2 linked regions of the Stegostoma tigrinum genome follow. The protein of the gene in region 1 interacts with the protein of each later gene in a pairwise test. Links are inferred from orthologs where the notes say so. Each region holds a gene or a part of one and is shown in the gene's direction. Other genes may lie near its edges.

Region 1 (10,164 bases):
AGTGAGGACTGCTGATATCCACTTATTGTGTCCTGTTCTTTCCCTTCCATGACCATCAACAGCAAGTGGATGTGAGGAACGTTGGATCAGCCATGATCCAATTGAATGGCAGAGCAGGCTCAAGGGGCCAAATGGTCTATTACCCTTCCTATTTCTAAGTAGCTGTCAATTGTATCATGTGGATACTTGTCTAGAGTGAATGTCCACTACTGTTAAGCTGATTCAGTCAACAATACCATCCATTTCTAATCACTGTACTTCCTGTGACAATTAAGCATACATTATAAATGGCAACTCCTCAAATTTTGTGTAATTGGTAGAAGTGATGTGAAGATGTCAATATGAAGAGTGTAACAAGACCTCCTTCATCTCCCCAAATACAATGAATAAGGAAGGATAGTGATCATGTCAATATGTACACCAGTGAAGTCTTCAACTTTGAAGCTAGGCCTACTGAAAGGTTTCCCCCTCTCCTACCACTCTGCAATAAACCTGCTGCCATTAGCTTCATTGAACACAAAGCCATCTAGTGGGTGACATTTTTGTAACACATGGGAACAGCAATCTCCAAAAGGGGCAATCGTGAACTTGAAAACTGTCTGTTGCAGGAAGGGGAGAAAGTTGCGTAAAACATTGATTCTGAGTCTGTCGTTCAGAGTAGATGCTTTCATCCCAATGAGCATTTCCACAGTTTGGGCATAGTTTTGATTGATTGATTTGATTTATTGTCACGTGTACCTAAGTACAGTGAAAAGCTTTGTTTGCGAGCAGCATAGGCAGATCATAGTAAACTAGGAAATACAGATCATCAGGTGAAAAACTTCTTGGACACAGTAAGGCACATAGGTTACATTGCACAGAATGTGTGCGAGGCAAGATCACCAGTACCAAGATAGGAAAAAATTGAAGTTAGAGATGCCATTCATCAGTCAAATAACAGCAAGGAAGAAGCTATTCTTGAATCTGCTGGTGCATGTGTTCAAGAATTCATATTTTCTACCTGATGGAAGAGGATGTAGGAGAGCATTACCTGGATGGGAAGGGTCTTTGATGATGTTGGCAGCCTTTCTGCACCTACAAAACATGTAAATAGAGTCCATGGTTGGAAGGTTGACTTCTGTGATGGTCTGGGCTGCGCACACCACTTTCTGTAGTTTCTTACGGTTCTAGGCAGAGCAGTTGCCACACCAGGCCGTTATGCACCCGGACAGTACACTTTCAATGGCGCAGATATAGAGGTTAGTGAGGGTCCTCATGGACAAGCCAAATTTTCTCAGCTGCCTGAGGAAGAAGAGGCGTTGTTGTGCCTTCTTGACCATTGCATCACATGGGAAGTGCAGGACAGATTGTTGGTTATTGTCACTCCGAGGAACCTGACGTTCTGGACCCTCTCAATCTCCACACCATTGACGTAAATGGGGGCATGCTACCCTCCTTTCTTTCTGAAGTCGATGATCAATTATTTAGTTTTGCGGACACTGAGAGAGAGAGAGAGAGAGAGAGAGAGAGATGTTGTAACCATTGCACCATGTCACCAAACCCTCTATCTCTTTTCTGTATTCTGACTTATCATCGTTTGATATCTATCTTAACACAATGGTATCATTAGCAAACTTGTAGATGGTGTTCATTCGGAATTTGGCAAAAAGTCATGGGTGTATAGGGAATACAGTAGGGGGCTGAGGATGCATCCTCAGGGGCGTTGGGGGGGGGGGTGTTGCTCCAGTGTTAAGTGTTATTGTGGAGGAAGTGCAGTTGTCTATATTCACTGATTGCGGTCTGTGGGTCAGAAAGCTGAGGATCCAATTGCAGAGCGCAGAGCTTGAGGGGAGTCTTGAGGGGATAATGGTGTTGAAGGCAGAGCTGTAGGGGTCTGACATAGCTGTCCTTGTTGTCTACATGTTCCAGGGATGAGTGCAGGGCTAGGGAAATGGCACCTGCTCTGGACCTGTTATGTCAATAGGCAAATTGCAGGGAATCGAGGTGAGCTGGGAGACTCAAGTTAATGTGGGCTTTGACCAGCTTGTCGAAGCACTTCATGATTATTGAGGTCAGAACCCCACTGGGCGGTAGTCTTTAAGGCACGTTGCATGTGCTTTCTTAGGTACAGGGCTGATGGTGGTCTTCTTGAAAGTAGGAGCTTTGGCTTGAAGGAGGGAGAGGCTGAAACTGGAGGTGAAATCATCCACCAGCTGGTCCGGACATGACCTAAATGCACGGCCAGGGACTCCATCAGGGCCTATCGCTTTCCTTGAGTTGACTATTGGGAAGACTGATCTGAGGTCTGCAGTGCTGACAGAGCGAACAGGTGTGTCCGGGGCTGGTGACACCATGCTGCTGGTATTCTGCTTGAACACAGCATAGAAAGCTTTGAGTGTATCAGGGAGGGATGTGCCTTTGTCAGCTATCTTGTAAGTAGCTAACCATAATGGGCATGTCATAATCAGATTATGAAGTCTCCTCATGCTTAACCCTTGCAATTGAGTTGGTTGGGAAAGCGGAGGGGGCACTTGTATGTAGCCTCTTCAAACCTAACACTGCTGCCTCACAACACCCAGGGACTTGGGTTCAATTCCAGCTTTAGGTGACTGTCTGAGTGGAATTTGTATGTTCTTCCCAATTCTGCATGGGTTTCTGCCAGTTGCTCTAGTTTCCTCCCACAGTCCAAAGCTGTGCATTGTAGGTAGTCTGGCCATGCTAAATTGCCCACAGTGTCCAGGGATGTGCAGGTTTACGTGGGTTAGCCATGGAAATTAGGCAGTTACAGGGATAGGGTGGGGGACTGAGTCTGGGTGGGATGTTCTTCAGAGGATCAGTGCAGGTTTGATGGGCTGAGTGGCCTCCTTCCACACTGTTGGGATTCTATCATTTTAATGTCATGTGGTGGATTGATTTACATTGGCAAGTTTGTGGCTACTTCATAAATTAGATCGTCATTCATGAGGGGATACATAACTAGTTTGTAGAGTTGAAGTTGGGTGTGGACTAGTTAATTGATTAATGGATCAAATTTAATATAGAAGCCAACTGGTGCATCTATTTACTATCTTGTTTGATGGGCTTGCTATTACATTGCTATGATATAATAGTGGAAAATGAAATGTATAGCATTCAAATATAACATTTTTCTTTGGCTAAAGTATTTTTCAAGACCCACTTGCTGATGTAACAAATGCACTCATGTCTTTTTTGAGCTGCTGGAATATTCAATGACCTTCTGTTCTGAGGCAACATAAAAGTATCATTTTTTTGGAGTTCCATCTGCCCTGTGCAACTCTATAGCATGCAAATAGGTGGTGCACCCTGAAATCCATTCAGCCCGTGGCCTATCAGCAAAGACAAAGTGCAAGAGTGAGTAACTGTAAACTTTCCTGCATCATTCTCACTCCACTTCGTTGTGTATTTTATATCTCTCTGGTCTACACCAAGACGACACACCAGCTTCAATATTTAATAGGTTTTATTGACAGTGTTTCAAAATGGCTGCTCTGTGCTTCAGCTCTGGCTCCCAACTCTTTCCACAGCTTTTCTCAGAGTCTACATCCAAGCTTACCGATTGAGTACAAAGATCAGCTATTGTAAACCGATTAACATAAAGAAACGCAGGACAATTGAACACTAAAGTGAATCCTGACAACAAGCTAGAAAGATGCAAGTATCCCTACCTCAGCCATTTTTGGAATCCTTAGCTGTCATATATGGAGTCGCAGGTAGACAGGGTAGTGAAGAAGCCATGTGGCATGCTTGCCTTCATTGGCCAGAACGTTGATGTTGGAGTTGGGATTTCATGTTGCAGTTAAACAGAACATTTGTGAAGCCACTTTTAGAATACTGTGTACAATTTTGGTTGCTCTCCTATAAGAAGAATGTTGTTAAATTTGAAAGTGTGCAGAAAGGTTTACGAGGATATGACCGTTTTTTCTGTAGAAGGGTCTAGGCCTGAAACATCAGCTCCTCTGATGCTGCTTGGCCTGGTTCATGCAGCTGTACGCCTTTTTATCTCACATTTAAGAGGCATCCAGGTTGGTATATGAATATGAGGAGTTTACAGGGAGTATGGGCTGGCATATATGCTGGCAAATGGGACTAGATCAGATTGGGCGTCTGGTTGGCGTGAATGAGTTGGGGTGAAAAGTCTGTTTCTGTGCTGTGTGACTATGATTCTATATCGATCCAGCAATTAATTTTCAGCTTTTACGGTTCCCATGTCTTTAAACGGTGAGATATCACCCCCAGGAGACGCCAGACAGTGATGGGCTGATTGCTTTTCAGTCCTAAGCGTACCGTTGGGAGTGATGGTCACTCTGAGACGGCACTCAATGAGATGAAATAGTGATGGACACCACACTTGGGACAAGGTGAGTGGGCCTGGAGATCATGCAGATAGGCCATATTGAGAGGGGGGTCTAGTGAATTGGTGAGAATTGCAAAATCCAGTCCCCAAAATCAAGCCTTATAAATGTACAGGTGATGAAAATGAGGCAGATCACCGTTATCCCTATCTTAAAAAGTCGTTGAATCCTGGGCAACTTAGCTCCACCGATAATGTGGTGATGACTTGCAATAACGTCCAAAGGTAAAAGTATTTTTCCTCACTACAGGAAACTGTGTATACCCACTATCCCCATTCTCATCACTTTATATAGCCTAGATTCCAAATTGCTGCCTGTGAGTTTAGGAGCCCAAAATCTTGACTCCTGAACCCAGTGGGAGTGGCAACTCCTTGTTTGGGAAGTCCTGCCGTGGACTAAATCACAATAAAACATAGTGATCCCAACACCAGTCTTTTCATCTCTGGTTTCTTAAAACCCGCCAGTGATGCACTTTTTTTCTGATGAAGGGTCTAGACCCAAAACGTCAGCTTCTGTGCTCCTGAGATGCTGCTTGGCCTGCTGTGTTCATCCAGCTCCACACTTTGGTTATGAGTGATGCACTTCAATATAGGTAAGCAACTGCTCCGAAACGTTATTACACATTCTAGAGGTTGAACCTGCGTGGTCCAGCTCGGGGACAGAGGAAGGATAACACTTATAAAAGGAGAGTGAGTTTACGTTTAATCTGATAACGCTAGCCAGCACACCCACTTAACTGTTGCTCGCCCACTGCCCCTAAAACTGAGGATGGTTCTGAACACGCACAGAGTGTTCCATCAAACCCCAGCGGCCAGCCACGGGGAAAGAGAAAAAAAAATCCTTTTCCAGCGAACAGCTGTGATCTGAATATTCTCACAAAAAAACATAAACAGCAGCCCCTCCCACTACGTTCTTCATCCACTCGATTCAGTCACAGTTTAACTTTAGAGGGTTACAATCAATCTCCTCCCCCACTCCACACGCACACAAACACACAGCTCGCTTCACGTTTAAAACTAACGGGTTGCTGTATTTCGTTGGCTGATGGGCGGATCCTGACACTGAGCTGAAGCTGTGCTCGGAGTTAGGGGTTGAGTTAGACATTTATTAGCCGCAGGGGAGGAGCCGATCCTGGGGTGGAATTTTAACCCGGACCAGGACTAATCAACTTGTCTCAGCCCCTCCTGGCTTCAGTTGCGGTTCTTTTGCTCGGGAGACCCGAACGAATATAAACATGTTGACTGAAATGTTTTCTTATCGAAGGCGTTTTGGATCATTTAATTCTAATGCCTGTCGCTGAGTTTGAGACTGAGTTTCCCCGTGCAGTATAAACTTTTCTCTTCGCCTCCCCATGGCGGAGCTGATCGAGCTGCGGGACCTGAGAGAGGACACGCTGAGTCCCGGCAGCACCCGCTCGGTGTACCGCTCGTCCGGTTTGGAGAGGACCAACGCCATGAGGATCAGCCCCAGGAGCCGGGCTTCCAGCGTCCAGGACATGGGTAAGGCGGCCAGACAAGAGCGCAAGAGCCGGCAGCGGCTGCTGGTGGTGGACCAGGAGCCGAGACTGACCGAGAGACTGGGGGAAGGACACGATTTCAACCCTTGCACCCAGACACAGCCCAGCTGGTGTGACCTGTGCGGCGACTTCATCTGGGGTCTGTACAAACAAAGTCTGCAGTGCGCAAGTAAGTTTCTCACACACGCAATTATCTTGTTTTACAAACATGCATTTAAAAAAAACACGAATTGATCTGAAATAAGTAAGAAACAGAAAACGTATGTGTCACAGTGACACTGGTAAGGGACAAAAACAGAAGTTGCTGGAAAAGCTGAGCAGGTCTGGCAGCATCTGTGGAGAGAAATCAGACTTGACGTTTCAAGTCAAGGGACCCTTCCGCGGTTTTTATCATTACTAAGAAGGCGACTTATAACGCTGGGGTGTGACTATCACTTAGGGGAATACAGCTTGGAAATCAATTTTAAAACTGCGGAAAAGATTTCCAGTGCATGTTAAATGGGTTGTATGCATTTTCTTACTTTTATGTCATGATTTAGTGTATTGTCCATCATACTAAACATATTCTATTTAACTCAATGTATACATTATACTATCAAACTCAGTATTTTCTCCATACTACTAACCTCTTTGCTGTATGCTGTCATATTTACAGAATATAAATACACGCTATCACACGATGTGCTATTGTATACTGTACAGGATTCTGTGTTTGGTATCAGGCTATATATGGTAATAGATTCCCTTCAAGGCTTCCTCAATCTTCCAAGTATTCAGATTAACGAAAGGAACTAGCTTTACAAGATCAAGCCAGAAAAGAGTGTGTTTGAAATGCACTACAAATGCATTGTAAACCTTCCAGTTAGACTGTCAACACTGAATAGGTGGAAAAGGTGCCGAAATTGATGAAAACGACATGAAAGAGGCCATTGTCATCATAACTAAGTACTTTGGAACTTATTTAAGTTGTTGCTAAACTCTTGATGTAATTATGCAAGAACACAATAGAAAAACCTCCCTGCATTGCAAGCGTCGCTTTGTGTCATCCCAGAGTGATGCCCATTGTCACACAGTGACACATCTTCACTGCGGGCCCTGTTGGCAATGAAGCTGGCCGATTATCAGAATGTGAAATCTCCCCAAGCCTGGCTTGCTGTGTTTTATATTTGTGTTCAGCTTTGGTTCAAGAGCATGCTGTGATTCAGAATTTTTTTTACCAGTGGGCAGTAAGCAGTGACCATCTTTGCCTGCAAGCTATGCTCACCGGGGGTTTTAAAGCAAATGGTCAGAAAATTGTAGACAACCTCTGACAGTGTTGAAGCTGGTGGCCAGGACTGTCCACTGGAAAGTACTTGTCAAAGGAAGAAAGGATATGTAGTTATATGGTGTCTTTCGCAAACTCCGGATATCCCAAAAGACTGCAGCCAGTGATGTATTTTTGTACTGTCATCTCTGTTGTAATGTTTTCAGCAGATTTTGGCGTATGACTATGTTTCTTGGCTTAATATTAGATATATCCTTTTTAGTTAGATAGAGTTGTAAGTAATTAAAATCTTCTGAAATGTGAATGTTCAGTTTCTTTCTGTAACTGAGTGCAAAGCAGCTACATCTACCTGCATGGTTGGGAATATTAACCAGCTCCCAGTCAGCAGCTGATAGCGTGCCAGAGGACATCAATGGTGTGAAAAACTGACGTCTCCTCCTGACAAGTAGGAGATACTTTTATGACCAAGAAGTGGATTTGAGGTACAGATTAACCATGATATAATTGATATAGAACACTGAAGGGATTGAATGGCCTGATATAATTCTTAGGTTTAACCTACTGGTGTGAGACCACACTGGGAACTTTCAGCACATAGAAAGTTCATCCCAGTGAGAATTGTCACCTTTCATGGTTGATTTTTGACCAATTCATGTACAAACTTGTGCTGGGTCAATTCTCCCTGCCTCGCTGAGTCTGCAGGCTATGTAGTTTGCACCAGCAGTGTTCCTGTATCATTGACTATATCTCTACTGATGTTAGACAGCTCCTGCACTGCTGAACTCTTCCACACCATGTGGAATCCTAGACGTTCTTCTTCACCTGAGGCAGTCCCTCAGGATAAGCATGATTTCACTTCCACTCTGCTTTGACGGTTTAGAAGATAGCTGAGAAGTCCAGTACACATCACAGTAGAGTAGCCCAGCAGGAGTGTGCTGGGTCCATAACCCAGAGGTTGATGGAACAAAACCATCCTCTGCTATTTACATTAACAAAGTGGTGCTTGTTCTGTAAGTTGTAGCATCTAGTTTAGGGCGGGACGGTGACTCAGTGGTTAGCACTGCTGCCTCACAGCGCCAGGGACCCGGGATTGATTCCAACCTCGGACAACTATCTGTGTGGAGTTTGCACGTTCTCCCTGTGTCTGCGTGGGTTTCCTCTGGGTGCTCCGGTTTTCTCCCACAATCCTAAGATGTGCAGAGTAGGTGGTTTGGCTATTCTAAATTGCCTGTAGTACCCAGGGGTATTTAGGTTAGGTGGATTAGACAAGGGAAATGTAGGAGTAGGGGAATGGGTCAGGGTGGGATGCTCTTTGGAAGGGCGGTGTGGGCTTGTTGGGCTGAATGGCCTGTTTTCGCACTGTAGGGTTTCTATGATTTCTATGACAAGCTGCAGTCTCACCCACGTGTGGGACAGATGGTCTTTGGAGGGTGAAATAAATGTATGGGGTTTGCAAACTCCCTTCTGCACTAAGACTTCACTTCTTCATGTTACTGATAAAGTCTTTCATGGTCTTCCCAAATTAACCTTCCGCATTTGGTTCTGATGGTCTCCCGTGAATCAGCAGGAATGTTTCTGCCCTTCAGCAATAATTTGAGGACATTCCTAAAGCAGTCCCACTGTTTTCCTTGGAGCTCTAGTCTCAAATGTGTTCGTAGTTGAACAGCTCCTTCGAGAGGTGTCCTGCCTAACAGAACTGGCTCTAAGTGATTAACACTTCTGTGCTGGACATGTTGGTTTGGGAGGCGTTGCTGCTGTTGAACTGCTACTGTACTCCAAGGATCTTGTGAACTGCTGGTGGTATTCAAGTACTTTGAGGTGCTTGCTTTGGATTATCTCAGTCTCTGAAGCATTTAGGAACACTGGGATCACTGCTGTCTGGTAAACTCTAAGCCTCATTTCGGATCTGTGATCCAGATCCTCTAATACACTAAATCACCTGAAGACTGACCTGGCACATTGTAAGTGATAATGGCTTTTGTCATCTCTCCAACTTCAGCAAGAACAAATTTCATGGAAATAACAGCATAAGCAGAAGGTCATATTTTCTCCTTTGCACTTCTGTCAATGCCCTCTTATCAGCCTCAACCATCTACTCCGATCCCTTGTCTGTCAATCTTTTCCTTATCAATTGCTCATCTAATTTCATTTGTAAACAATTGTATAATCTTTCAATAGCTAAATCTGGCATTGTGTTCAAATAAATCTCTACTGCTTAGCCAACTGTGAAGGTGATCCATCACATCCGCTCCTTCCTCCAAGTGTTGCAACCTTCTTACTCCCATGATCCGTCACGTTGCGTGTTCTCAAACACAGTTCCTACCTTCCTAGGTGGAAAAGAAAACAGGCGATTAGATGACTCTTGATTGCTTGTTTCGCAAGGCTGGTGAGTCTGAAGATTCGGAGTCATACTGTCTAAGGCTCGCATTACGAATTGTGGTGAAGAGAAATTTCTTCATTCAGAGTGTTATAAACCTTCAAAATTCTCTCTCAATGGATCCTCAGTCAATTAAATATAATCAAGACTTCGATATTAGATTTTTTGCCTTTTAAGACATTTTAGAGAAAGGGCGCAAAATAGAGTTGTTAACGAACTTTGAGCTATGATCTTACTGAGTCACAGACCAAGTTACATGAGTCTATGGCTTACGCTTGCTGTAATTTCTTATGTTTTCATACTGTGTCTAATACTCTTTTTCAAATTACAAATGTGTTTGAAGAAAATGAAGATTTATTTTCAATGCCCCAATGATGTTTCTCTCAGACTGCTTGTAGCAGTACTCTGGAGATGGGTCTTTATTTCCCGGAGACCCCAGGAAAATCCTGGGGGACCCTATTACAAAGTATGACCAAAAACCAGAAGCAGTACAGAGGTAAAATGGACACACTTTCTTAATTGCTGAACAGCACTCGTATGACATGGACCCTGACGGTTTTTCTGATGTCTGCCTAAAGAAGGTGCAGCAACATATATTTCAAATGTGATTGGATGCCAGAGGCCTCTGCCCTCAGACTTCCTCTGATAGCACCGG
Region 2 (10,744 bases), on another chromosome or scaffold:
AAAAAACAAAGAGCATGAGTAGGACTTTCAGCCTCACTATCCTGTTCCCCCATTTAATAAGATCATGGCTGATCTAGATGAAGCTCAAATTCACATTGCCACCTATCCCATTCTTAACCTTTTACCTTCTTGCTTATCATCAATCTATCCACCTCTATCTTAAAAATATTAAAAGAATCTGCCTCCATGCGTTTTAAGGAAGCAAGTTCCAAAGATTGTTGACCCTTAATTCTAGATTCTCCCATGAGGAACTTCTTCCCCCCCCAAGCCAAGGATTTTACAGGTTTTAATCAAATTTCCTGTTAGTATTCTGAACTCCAGTGACTAGAAGCCTAACCTGTCCAATCTTCGTCATAACAAAGTGTGGAGCTGGTGGAACACAGCACGCCAAGCCAGCTCCACACTTTGTTATCTTGGATTCTCCAGCATCTGCAGTTCCTATTATCTCTGATCACAACCTTCCTCATAATCCACCCATTCTAGACATTTACTACAGTGAGCCTCTGAACGTATTCTAATATATTTACATCCTTACTTCAGTAGGATGTCCGATACTGTATATGGTACTTTAGATACGGGTCTTACATGTGTCTTGTATAATTGAAGCATAATCTTCCTACTTTTGTATTCCATTCCCCTCAGAATAAATTACAACACCCCATTAGCTTTCCTAATTACTTGTGTACCTGCTCACTAACCTTTTATGATTCATGCACTAGGAATCCCGATTATTGTGAACCTGTAAACCCTGCAATCTTTCACTATTTAAATAACTTGTCTCTTTGTCATTCTTCCAGCAATACGAACAATTTTACATTTCTGCACAATGTATTACATTTGTCAGATCTTTGCTAACCTACTTATCAGTATCTTTTTGTAGCCACTTAAATCCTCTTCACAACTTACTTATTTTACAACCTACCTATTTTTGTGTCATCAGTAAACTGAGTGTTTATATCATCTCTTCCTTCATTGATTTGATTTGATTTATTGTCATGTGTACCTAAGTACAGTGAAAAGCTTTGACTGTGAGCAGTACAGGCAGATCGGAGCAAGCACGAATATACAGATCAGTGAGTGAAAAACAAAACCTGGACAGAGTCGGGAATACATGTTACACTGCACAGGAAGTGCACGAGGCATGATAAACATTAACAAGAACAGCATTATTCAAAATTAGAATCCATTCATCAGTCTAATAACAGTTGGGAAGAAGCTATTCTTGAACCTGCTGGTGCAGTTGTTCATGTTCCTGTATCTTCTACCTGATAGAAGAGTTTGTAAGAGAGCATTACCAAGATGGAATGGGCCTTTGATGATCTTGGCAGCCTTTTCACGGCAATGACACATGATCCAGCAGTGGGATCTTGACCCCTACAGTATATCATTTGATTTTTTAAAAAATTCATTCATAGGATGTGGGCATTGCTGTCATTGAAGGGAACATAAAAAAATCTTGTTGAAATAAATTATTTTAATACTCTTATTTTGATACTTGTAATCAACTTGTTCAGATGTGTTATAACACACCTCCGGAGCAGGTGGGGCTTGAACCAAGTATTCTATCTCTGAGGCAGGGACATTACCACTACAGCACAGAGATAATGGGAACTGCAGATGCTGGAGAATCCAAGATAACAAAGTATGAAGCTGGATGAACACAGCAAGCCAAGCAGCATCTCAGGAGCACAAAAGTTGACGTTTCGGGCCTAGACCTTTCATCAGAGAGACCCTTCAACACTACAGCACAACAACCTTTGCATTAATCAATTCATTCAAACAACTGGTCACCCCATTTCCAATACTGAATTAATAAATAGAAGTGTGAGGGACTCTCGTTGTGCAGTGTTGATATTGCTGCCTCTGAGCCAGGAAGCCTGGGTTAAAGTTCCACCTACGCCAGATTTTTGTTATAACATCTCTGAACAACTTGATTTCAGAATCATACCCTCTTTTCGATTGGGAAAGCCAGACTCCCTGATCATGCAAAAACAGAAGTTGCTAGAAAAGCTCAGCAGGTTTGGCAGCATCTGTGAAGAGAAATCAGATTTAATATTTCTGGTTCAGTGATCCTTGCTCAGAACTGATGGTAGGTAGCAAAATATTGGTTTATATGCAGAAGATAGGTTGGGGGGAAGGGGAAGGAGTAAACGAAAGGTTTGGATAGAGCCCAAAGAGAGAGAAGAGCAGTTGGATAACGGAGGAGATACAATCTGGCTAGGAGGGCGAATAGCTGTTAATGGAAACTGTTAATGGCTAACAATAGTGTGTGATAGTGTGATTATGTAATACAAGGCCTGGTGTCTGGGGTAGAGGGCTAGGACATGAGACAGTTCAGGCCCTAAAATTATTGAAGTTGATATTTGGTCTGGAGGGCTTCAGGGTCCCGAAGTGGAAAATGAGGTATACTTCTTCTAGTTTGCACTGAGCTTTGCTGGAACTCTACAGCAGCCCTGCGACAGAAATAAAAACCGAAAGAACTGCGGATGCTGTAAATCAGAACAAAAACAGAAGTTGCTGGAATAGCTCAGCAGGTCTGGCAGCATCTGTGGAGAAAAAATCAGAGTTAATGTGTTGGGTCCGGTGAGCCTTCCTTTAAATGATGTTAGCCAGGGAACAAGGTGGTGTGTTAAAGTGGCAGGAAACTGGAAGATCAGGATCATGTTTGCTGGCAGAACACAGATGCTCCATGAGGTGGTCACCCAGTCTTTGGAGGAGACCACACTGTAAGCAACTAATGCAGCAGACTAGATTGTGTGAAGTGCAGGTGAGTTGCTGCACAATCTGGAAGTTGTGTTTGGGACCTTAGATACTGAGAAGTGAGGAGGTAAGTGGGCAGGTGTTACACATAAGGTGGTTGCAAGGGAAGGTGCCGTGGGGCCGTTGGGTGGTGTTGAGAGTGAAGGAAGAGTGGACTAGGATGTCCCAGAGGGAACAGTCCCTGTGGTAGGCAGACAAGGGAGGGGAATATGCATCTAGTGGTAGCATCTTGTAGGAGGTGGCAGGAATGGTGGCTGATCTTCTGGATGTGAATTCTGGTGGGATGGTAGGTATGGACAAAGGGAACCTATCACTGTTGTGGGAGGGAAGAAAGGGGGAGAGGGCAGAAGTGTGGGGGATGAGTCGGACCCGGTTGAGGACCCTGTTGACAATGGTGCTAGGCAATCCTTATACTATATATTAAAGGAAAAAGATGGACATTTTGGAGGCTCCCTTGTCGAAGTTGGCCTCATCAGAACAAGAAATGTGTTTTTTTCCTTTCAGGCATCAATGCTCACGAGATGCAACAGCTCAGAGATACCCATGACCCTCTGAAACCTTCCTTTCCTCCCCTTCCCTCTGACTCCATTTCTTCCTCAAACCCGACCACCTGTCGGGCATTCACCACCTCTCCCAACCTTCAAACATTCTGTGCTCAGCAAAGGTGTCAGCTTTATCCCTCTGCGACCCACTTAATGAGCTTCAGGCATGACATGAAATCCAACTCTTCTTCTGCCATCTTTGCCTTTGTGCCATTTTTTGGACAAGAGTCCTCTCCCCATCCCACAGACCCCTTCATCCAGCTCGAACACTCTCCCTCCACCCGGACCCCTCCTTCTGGCCTTTTACCTGCACTTGATCTGTTCACTGAGAATTGTCGATGTCAATTTCTCTGCCCCCTCCCTTAACCAATCCAACCTATCTCCTCTGAACTGACTGCACTCTTTGTGCTCAGATCCAACCCTGACTTTGTTATTAAGGGGGGTGCTGTTGTAGTTTGGTGCACTGACCTCTACATTGCAGAGGGTCAAATACCTCCTCCTATCTTCCTCTGGACCATGACCCCCAACATGGAACATCAGGCCATTGTATCAACTATGGTCACAGACCTCATTTCATCTGGTGATCTCCTCCCCACTGCCTCCAAGCTAATAGCCCGCCAACGCTGCACAGCTTGCTTCCACCTTCTTCCAAAAATCCACAAACAGGGCTGACCCATTGTTTCGGCCTGCTCTTGCCCCACAAAGCTATCTATTCCCACCTTGACTCAGTCTTTTCTCCCCTGAGTCTAGTCCCTACCCATATATATATCCATGATTCCTCTGATGCTTTATGCTAGTTTTGGAATTTCCAGTTTGTACACTCCAGCCGCCTCCTTTTTACCATAGATGCATGTAAACTTTACACCCCCATCCTCCACTAGGATGTTCTCAGGGGTCTTCAACTTCTTCCTGGAGCAAAGGCCTGAGGCATCTCCACCCACCACCAGCCTCCTCCACTTGGTTGAGACTCTCCTCACTCTCAACAACTTCTCTTTTAATTCCTCTCATTTTCTTCAGGTCAGAAAAGTGGTCATGGGTCCCAATTATAAATGTCTCTTAATGGGGGATATTCCTTCTTCCAATCCTCTCCAGACCCCTCCCACAACTCTTTCTCTGATATATTGATATTGTTGGTGCTGCTTCCCTCTCTCATCTGGAATTGGAAAAGTTTCTAATTTTTTACCCTGCCCTCACTTTCATCTGGTCTATCTCTGACTCCTCCCTTTCTTGATATCTTTAGTTCCATTTCTGGGGATAACTTGACAATTAATATCCACTGAAAACCCACTGAATCCCACAGCTACCTGGACTACACACCCTCACACCTTGCTTCGTGTAAAGACTCCATTCTATTCTCCCTGTTCCTCTATCTCCATCGCACATGTTCTGATGAGGCCAACTTGCACAGGGAGCCTCTGAAATGTCAACCTTCTTCCTCAACTGAGGATTCCCCAGCACCGTTATCAACAGGGCCCCCAACCAGATCTGAACCAGCTCCTGCACTTCTTCCCTCACACCTGCTTTTTTCTCCCACCGAACAACAATAGGGTACCCCTTGTCCTTACCTACCATCCCATCAGCATTCAAATCCAGAAGATCATCATCCATCATTTCTGCCATCTCCAGCAAGATGCTACCACCAAACACAGATTCCCCTCCTCTCTCCTCCCTTGTCCACCTACCGCAGGAGCTGTTCTCTCCGAGACACCCTGGTGCACTCTTCCTTCACTCACAACAGCACCGTCCCCTGCAACCGCCATGGGTGTAACGTCTGCCCATTTACCTCTTCTCTCACTCAATCTAGTCTACTGCATTCGTTGCTCACAATGTGGTCTCCCCAAAGCGTAGGTTGGGCAGCCACTTCACAGAATATCTATGTTCTGCCTGCAAAAGTCACCCTGAGCTTCCAGTTGCCTGCCACTTTAATACATCACTGTTCCCTGGCTAACATCTCCATCTCAGGCTTGCTGCAGCATTCCAGCGAAGCTCAGAGCAAGCTGGAATAACAACACCTCAATTTCCACTTGGGGATGTTGAAGCCCTCCAGACTCAATATAGAGTTCAATAATTTCAGGGCCTGAACTTCCCCAGGTCCTCGCCCCTCACCGCACAAAGCAGGCCTTGTTACCACATAGTCTGCCATTGTGCGCTAGCTATTGTTAGCCGTTAGAAGCTATTCACCCTTCTAGCCAGATTGTTATCCACTCCTTTGTTTGTCCAACTGTCCTCTCTCTTCGGGCTCTATACGCATCTATGGTTTACTCCTTACGCTCTGCCCCCACTCTATCTTCTGCATATAAACCAACATTTTCCTGGCTACCATCAGTTGAGGAAGGGTCACCGGATCCGAAAAGTTAATTCTTCTTTCTCTTCACAGATGCTGCTGGACCCACTGAGCTTTTCCAGCAACTTCTGTTTTTTGTTTCTGATTTATAACATCCGCAGTTGTTCAGGATTTTATTTTGCTCACCGAAGATGGACATGTTGGTCAATCTGGGTGGGCACGGCCAGCTGCGGAGAGTGGTAACGTGATGACATCTCCCAGAATAAAGCCAGTCAGAGCTAGTTCGTTAAACCACCCGATGACTGAAGTTACGGGCATTTGTTTCCATGTGATTTCTCGTTAATATGTGCCCTTCAAATAACCAAACGGTTTAAAACGGAATCAAGGACTCCGCCAGCTACGAGCTACGACATCAAAGACTCTTAGACTCCACCGTGATTAGTCGCGGCTGCGCAGGAGGAAGAACAGTCTGTGACCAGAGAATCGTGACTGCCCAAACTGATTGACAGTTCGACGCTGCCACACAGACGGCACTTCTGGCACGATAGCGTTCCGACCAATGGGATGGTCGAGGAGGCGGGCTGAGGGCGGAGGAGGACGGCGCCGGTGTCACCAGCTGCCGTTTTGGAGGAGGAAGGTTTGGGGTGGGGTGGGGAGGGGAGGGGAGGGGAGGGGGAGAGAGGCGCGTGCAGTGACGTCAGGCGAGTCGAGCATGGCGGTTTGAAACTGTAACCGTCGCACGTTTAAAAGGCGTCACCGTAGTGATGGAGCCGTCGGCGCCCAGAAGGTAGTGACAACCCCTTTCGGAGACGTCGAGGGGGCGGTGGGGGTAGAGGCAGAGGCGGGTCGTTTGATGCATTAAATGCAGTGGTTGTTTACAGGAAGAAGATGAAACTTTTACAGAGTTTTTTCTTCTCTCTACTCACTCAGTTTATGTTTGTACGTGTTGTTCCCGAAGTCAGTTCAGAAGGGCATCGAAGTTCCAGTGTTTTTAAATACTGCTTGTTGTTTTCCAACTAGAAGTGACTATCATTGTAGGCTTGTTTTTAAAATTGTTTTGTTTCTGGTCTTGGTGAAATGGTGTCGAGGGGAGCTTTAAAAACATGAATATTTGGGAGGAAGTTAATTCGGGGAGATTATGTTCCTGATTTCTAGTACTGGAGTTGATCCTGAATTTCTCTTTTTGATTTCCCTTATCGCCGGGGATAACTTTACGATGTTGTAATGCTTTGCAACACACTGTCATTACATTTCTTTGGGAAAAGAAAGAGTAAATTTGTTGTGCAGTAGTTCAGGTCCCCAAGATGTCACAGACCACAGTGCACCTTTTTTTGAAGATTTGTCAATGACACTGTTTTCCTTGGGGGCGGGGGGGGAAGGAAAGAGTTCTAGAAATTAAAAATCTGATACTAATGATTAGAACCTGCTCTTGGTGATTTGGTGATAACAAGGTGTTGAGCTGGATGAACACTGCAGGCCAAGCAGCGTCTTAGGAGCAGGAAAGCTGATGTTTCAGGCCTAGACCCTTCATCAGCAATGCATCTTCTACCTCAATTCCATGCTCCTTGCCCTAACCTTTTCTCTCTTGAGGATCAAACATTTAAATAGTCCAGCCTTGAATATAATCAATTCATATCCTGAACTTCCTTGGGTAGAAAATAGCTGTGTGTGTGTGATCTCCTCAACTGCTGCTGCTGCTGTGTTCTAAATTCCCCAAAAGACCTCTTGAGTTTACCCTGCCAAGCCCCTGCAAAATCTTGTATGTTTCCAGGAGGTAACTTCTCCATTCTACTGAAACTGCAGATTGTCCCAAGTTGCTTAGCCTCTTGGCAGAATACAGCTTTCCCATCCTAAAAATTAACCTATTTGAATCTTCTTTACTTCTTTCTTAGACATGGAAATCAAAACTGTACTATACTTTGTACAGTCTTGCCAAAGCTCTACATAGTACAATTGTAACAAGACTTCCATATGCAATTTCCTAGCAATAAAGGCCAGTGTACCATTTGCCTTCCTAATTGCCTGATGTATATGCATCCTCTGTGTTCCTTGTATGAGGATACCTGAGTACAGGTGAATATCAACATTTACCAGTCTGATGCTTAATAAAAATATTCTGCCTTTCTACTCTGACCAAAATGAATAACCTCAAACTTTGCCACATAATGTTCCAGCTGCTTTTGTTGCCCATCCAAGCTGTTGGCATCTCTTTGCAGCCTGTTTTGGTCATCCTGACAACTTATCATCACCTAGTTTTCTATCAGAAGTAAATTTGGGTATTAAGTCCTCACTTAAAATTTAGATTGTTTTCCTGAAAATCATTGGTTCCCAGAGAATAGAACAGTACAGGCCCTTCGAAGCAGATGTTAAATCTGTATTTTGGTTTTGTAGGACCTACCTTATCCTAAAAGTCTAGCAATAATACTACTAGGCCATTGCCTCACTAATGTAAGTACTTCTTAAACGTTATGAGGATTTCTACACAGTTACAAGCTGTGTTCCAGATTCCCATCTCCTTCTGGAGTTACCTTATACCCAAGGCCCCATCTTTGATCCCTCCACCAAGGGGAAATGTTCCTTTTCTACCTTATCTATGTCTCTCATAATTTTATGCATCTCAATCATGACCCCCTTCTGTTTCCTCTACTCTGAGGAAAACTCACCCAGTCTATTCAATCTCTACTCATAACTAAAACTTTCCAATCCAGATAACATTGTAAAAAACCTCCTTTGCAGCCTCTCCAGTCCAAACATAGCCTTTGTTAAATGGGAATTCCAAAATTGCACAGTATGGTCTATGCCGTTTCAACATAACCGTCCTGGTGGATAAGAACAACAAGTTCCCACTGATCCTTGGTACTACACAAGGTCCTTCCCTTCATAACAAAAAAATGCTGGCGATCACAGTGGGACAGGCAGCATTCATGGACAGAAAGCATGCTAATGTTTTGAGTCAAGGTGACTCTTCAGACCTGAAGTGAAATGTCGATGGGGCAAAATTTTTGCAGTAGTTTGGGGGTGGGGTGGGGAAAGGATGTTGATAGTTCACATTAAGTGATTCTCATGTGAGATCACTTAATCTGAACTATTAACATCCTTTGATAACAAGGTGTGGAGCTGAATGAGCACAGCATGCCACGCAGCATAGACCCTCCTGAAACATCAGCGTTCCTGCTCCTAAGATGCTGCTTGGCCTGCTGTGTTCATCCAGCGCCACTCCTTGTTATCTCAGATTCTCCAGCATCTGCAGTTCCTATTATCTCTATCACCATCCTTTTATTGAGTTCAAATTGCTGCTAACAGCCTATCCTTATTCTCCTATAATCTAGGGCAATCCTCCTCATTATTTACCACCTCATTCATTTGTCCTTCAGTCTGAAAAATGATTTTTTACCATGACTACCTTAAACAATATTTAACCAAACTGACACTGACTCGCCTGCTCCACGAATCTTTATTTTATTAATCAGTTTCTGACATCGTATTTTCTCAGTACTTTAAATCTGTATGAGCAATATCTGCTACTTTCCCTTCAAAACTTTTCTCTGGTATTGCATCAAAAAATTATTAGATTGATCAAACATAGAACATAGAACATTACAGCACAGTACAGGCCCTTCGGCCTTCGATGTTGTGCCGACCTGTCATACCAATCTGAAGCCCATCTAACGTACACTATTCCATGCACGTCCATATGCTTGTCCAATGACGACTTAAATGTACCTAAAGTTGGCGAATCTACTACCGTTGCAGGCAAAGCGTTCCATTCCCTTACTACTCTCTGAGTAAAGAAACTACCTCTGACATCTGTCCTATATCTTTCACCCCTCAATTTAAAGCTATTCCCCCTCGTGCTCGCTGTCACCATCCTAGGAAAAAGGATCTCCTTATCCACCCTATCCAACCCTCTGATTATTTTATATGTCTCAATTAAGTCACCTCTCAACCTTCTTCTCTCTAATGAAAACAGCCTCAAGTCCCTGAGCCTTTCCTCGTAAGACCTTCCCTCCATACGAGGCAACATCCTAGTAAATCTCCTCTGCACCCTTTCCAAAGCTTCCACATCCTTCTTCTAATGCGGTGACCAGAACTGTACGCAATACTCGAAGTGCGGCCGCACCAGAGTTTTGTACAGCTTCTCCATAACCTCTTGGTTCTGGAACTCGATCCCTCTATTAATAAAAGCTAAAACACTGTACGCCTTCTTAACAGCCCTGTCAACCTGGGTGGCAACTTTCAAGGATCTGTGTACATGAACACCGAGATCTCTCTGCTCATCTACACTGCTAAGAATCTTACCTTTGCCTTTTGTAAATCTGTTCTAGATGTCCTTAATTAAGTGTCTCCAACTGCTACTTCAACTAGTGCATTTTTGCGTAAAATTGTATTGCCATAATTTTCAGGTTGAGTGCATTTTTCTATTTTTTACATTTTATCACTAAATTGGTGTGGGTGATATTGCAGGTTGTTCAGCTCAGTAGACTTTGTTGGTATTTTACCTTCACTCAAACCTCCTCCCATTCTGTTAAATCTCATACAATCAGAATACCTTTCTATTCCTTTCTCTCCTGTGTGCTTATCTCGCTATTCCTGAAATACATCTTTATTGTTTGTCTAAATCACTCTAAGTAACTTCCCTGAATACATACCCGAATCCCTGAGTCTCCCTTTACCATGGTACCTTTAAGTGTATTTGCCTTCTCCTGTTCCATTTGCTGAAGTGTGTTCCAAGAATGATTCTGCAGCCTTTTCTGAAAACTTCCACACGCTTTACATTGCTGCTTTGTGATTCTACTTTACCATTTGTAAGTGCTTACAAGATCCTTCCAGAGCTTTCAGTTGCCTGCCATTTCAACGCATGTGTTCCAGTTCTAACATTGTGATCTCAGGACTACTACGTGCTCCAGCAAAACTGAAGAAAGGGTGAAGGAACAGCACCTCATCTTCCGCTGTGGTAGTTTACAGCCTTCAGGACTCAACATTTGAGTTTAATAATTAAAGAATGTGAGCACCCCTGTGTGCTTAGGTCCTGTTTTGTACGGTTTGCTCCCAGCACAGCCAACCCATTTCAAACTATACACACTTCTTGTTAGCACCCTCCCAAGTATTTATCTCCATCTCGGCTGATCATCAGCAATCACTTTGTTTACCATCTTTT

Evidence for each region. The genes of interacting proteins can lie anywhere in the genome.
Region 2: the proteins of rassf1 (region 1) and stk3 interact in binary tests that used the Homo sapiens proteins (3 or more experiments, as listed by UniProt). The link is inferred for Stegostoma tigrinum from reciprocal best matches to the Homo sapiens genes RASSF1 and STK3.

The regions. Positions count from the first base shown.
Region 1 is NC_081364.1:59,254,334-59,264,497, forward strand, and holds the start of rassf1 (ras association domain-containing protein 1), read left to right. Parts: upstream 1-5,369; 5' UTR 5,370-5,703; coding exon 5,704-6,037; intron 6,038-10,164. UniProt on the Homo sapiens protein: Potential tumor suppressor. Required for death receptor-dependent apoptosis. Mediates activation of STK3/MST2 and STK4/MST1 during Fas-induced apoptosis by preventing their dephosphorylation.
Region 2 is NC_081358.1:121,913,628-121,924,371, forward strand, and holds the start of stk3 (serine/threonine-protein kinase 3), read left to right. Parts: upstream 1-6,259; 5' UTR 6,260-6,350; coding exon 6,351-6,373; intron 6,374-10,744. UniProt on the Homo sapiens protein: Stress-activated, pro-apoptotic kinase which, following caspase-cleavage, enters the nucleus and induces chromatin condensation followed by internucleosomal DNA fragmentation.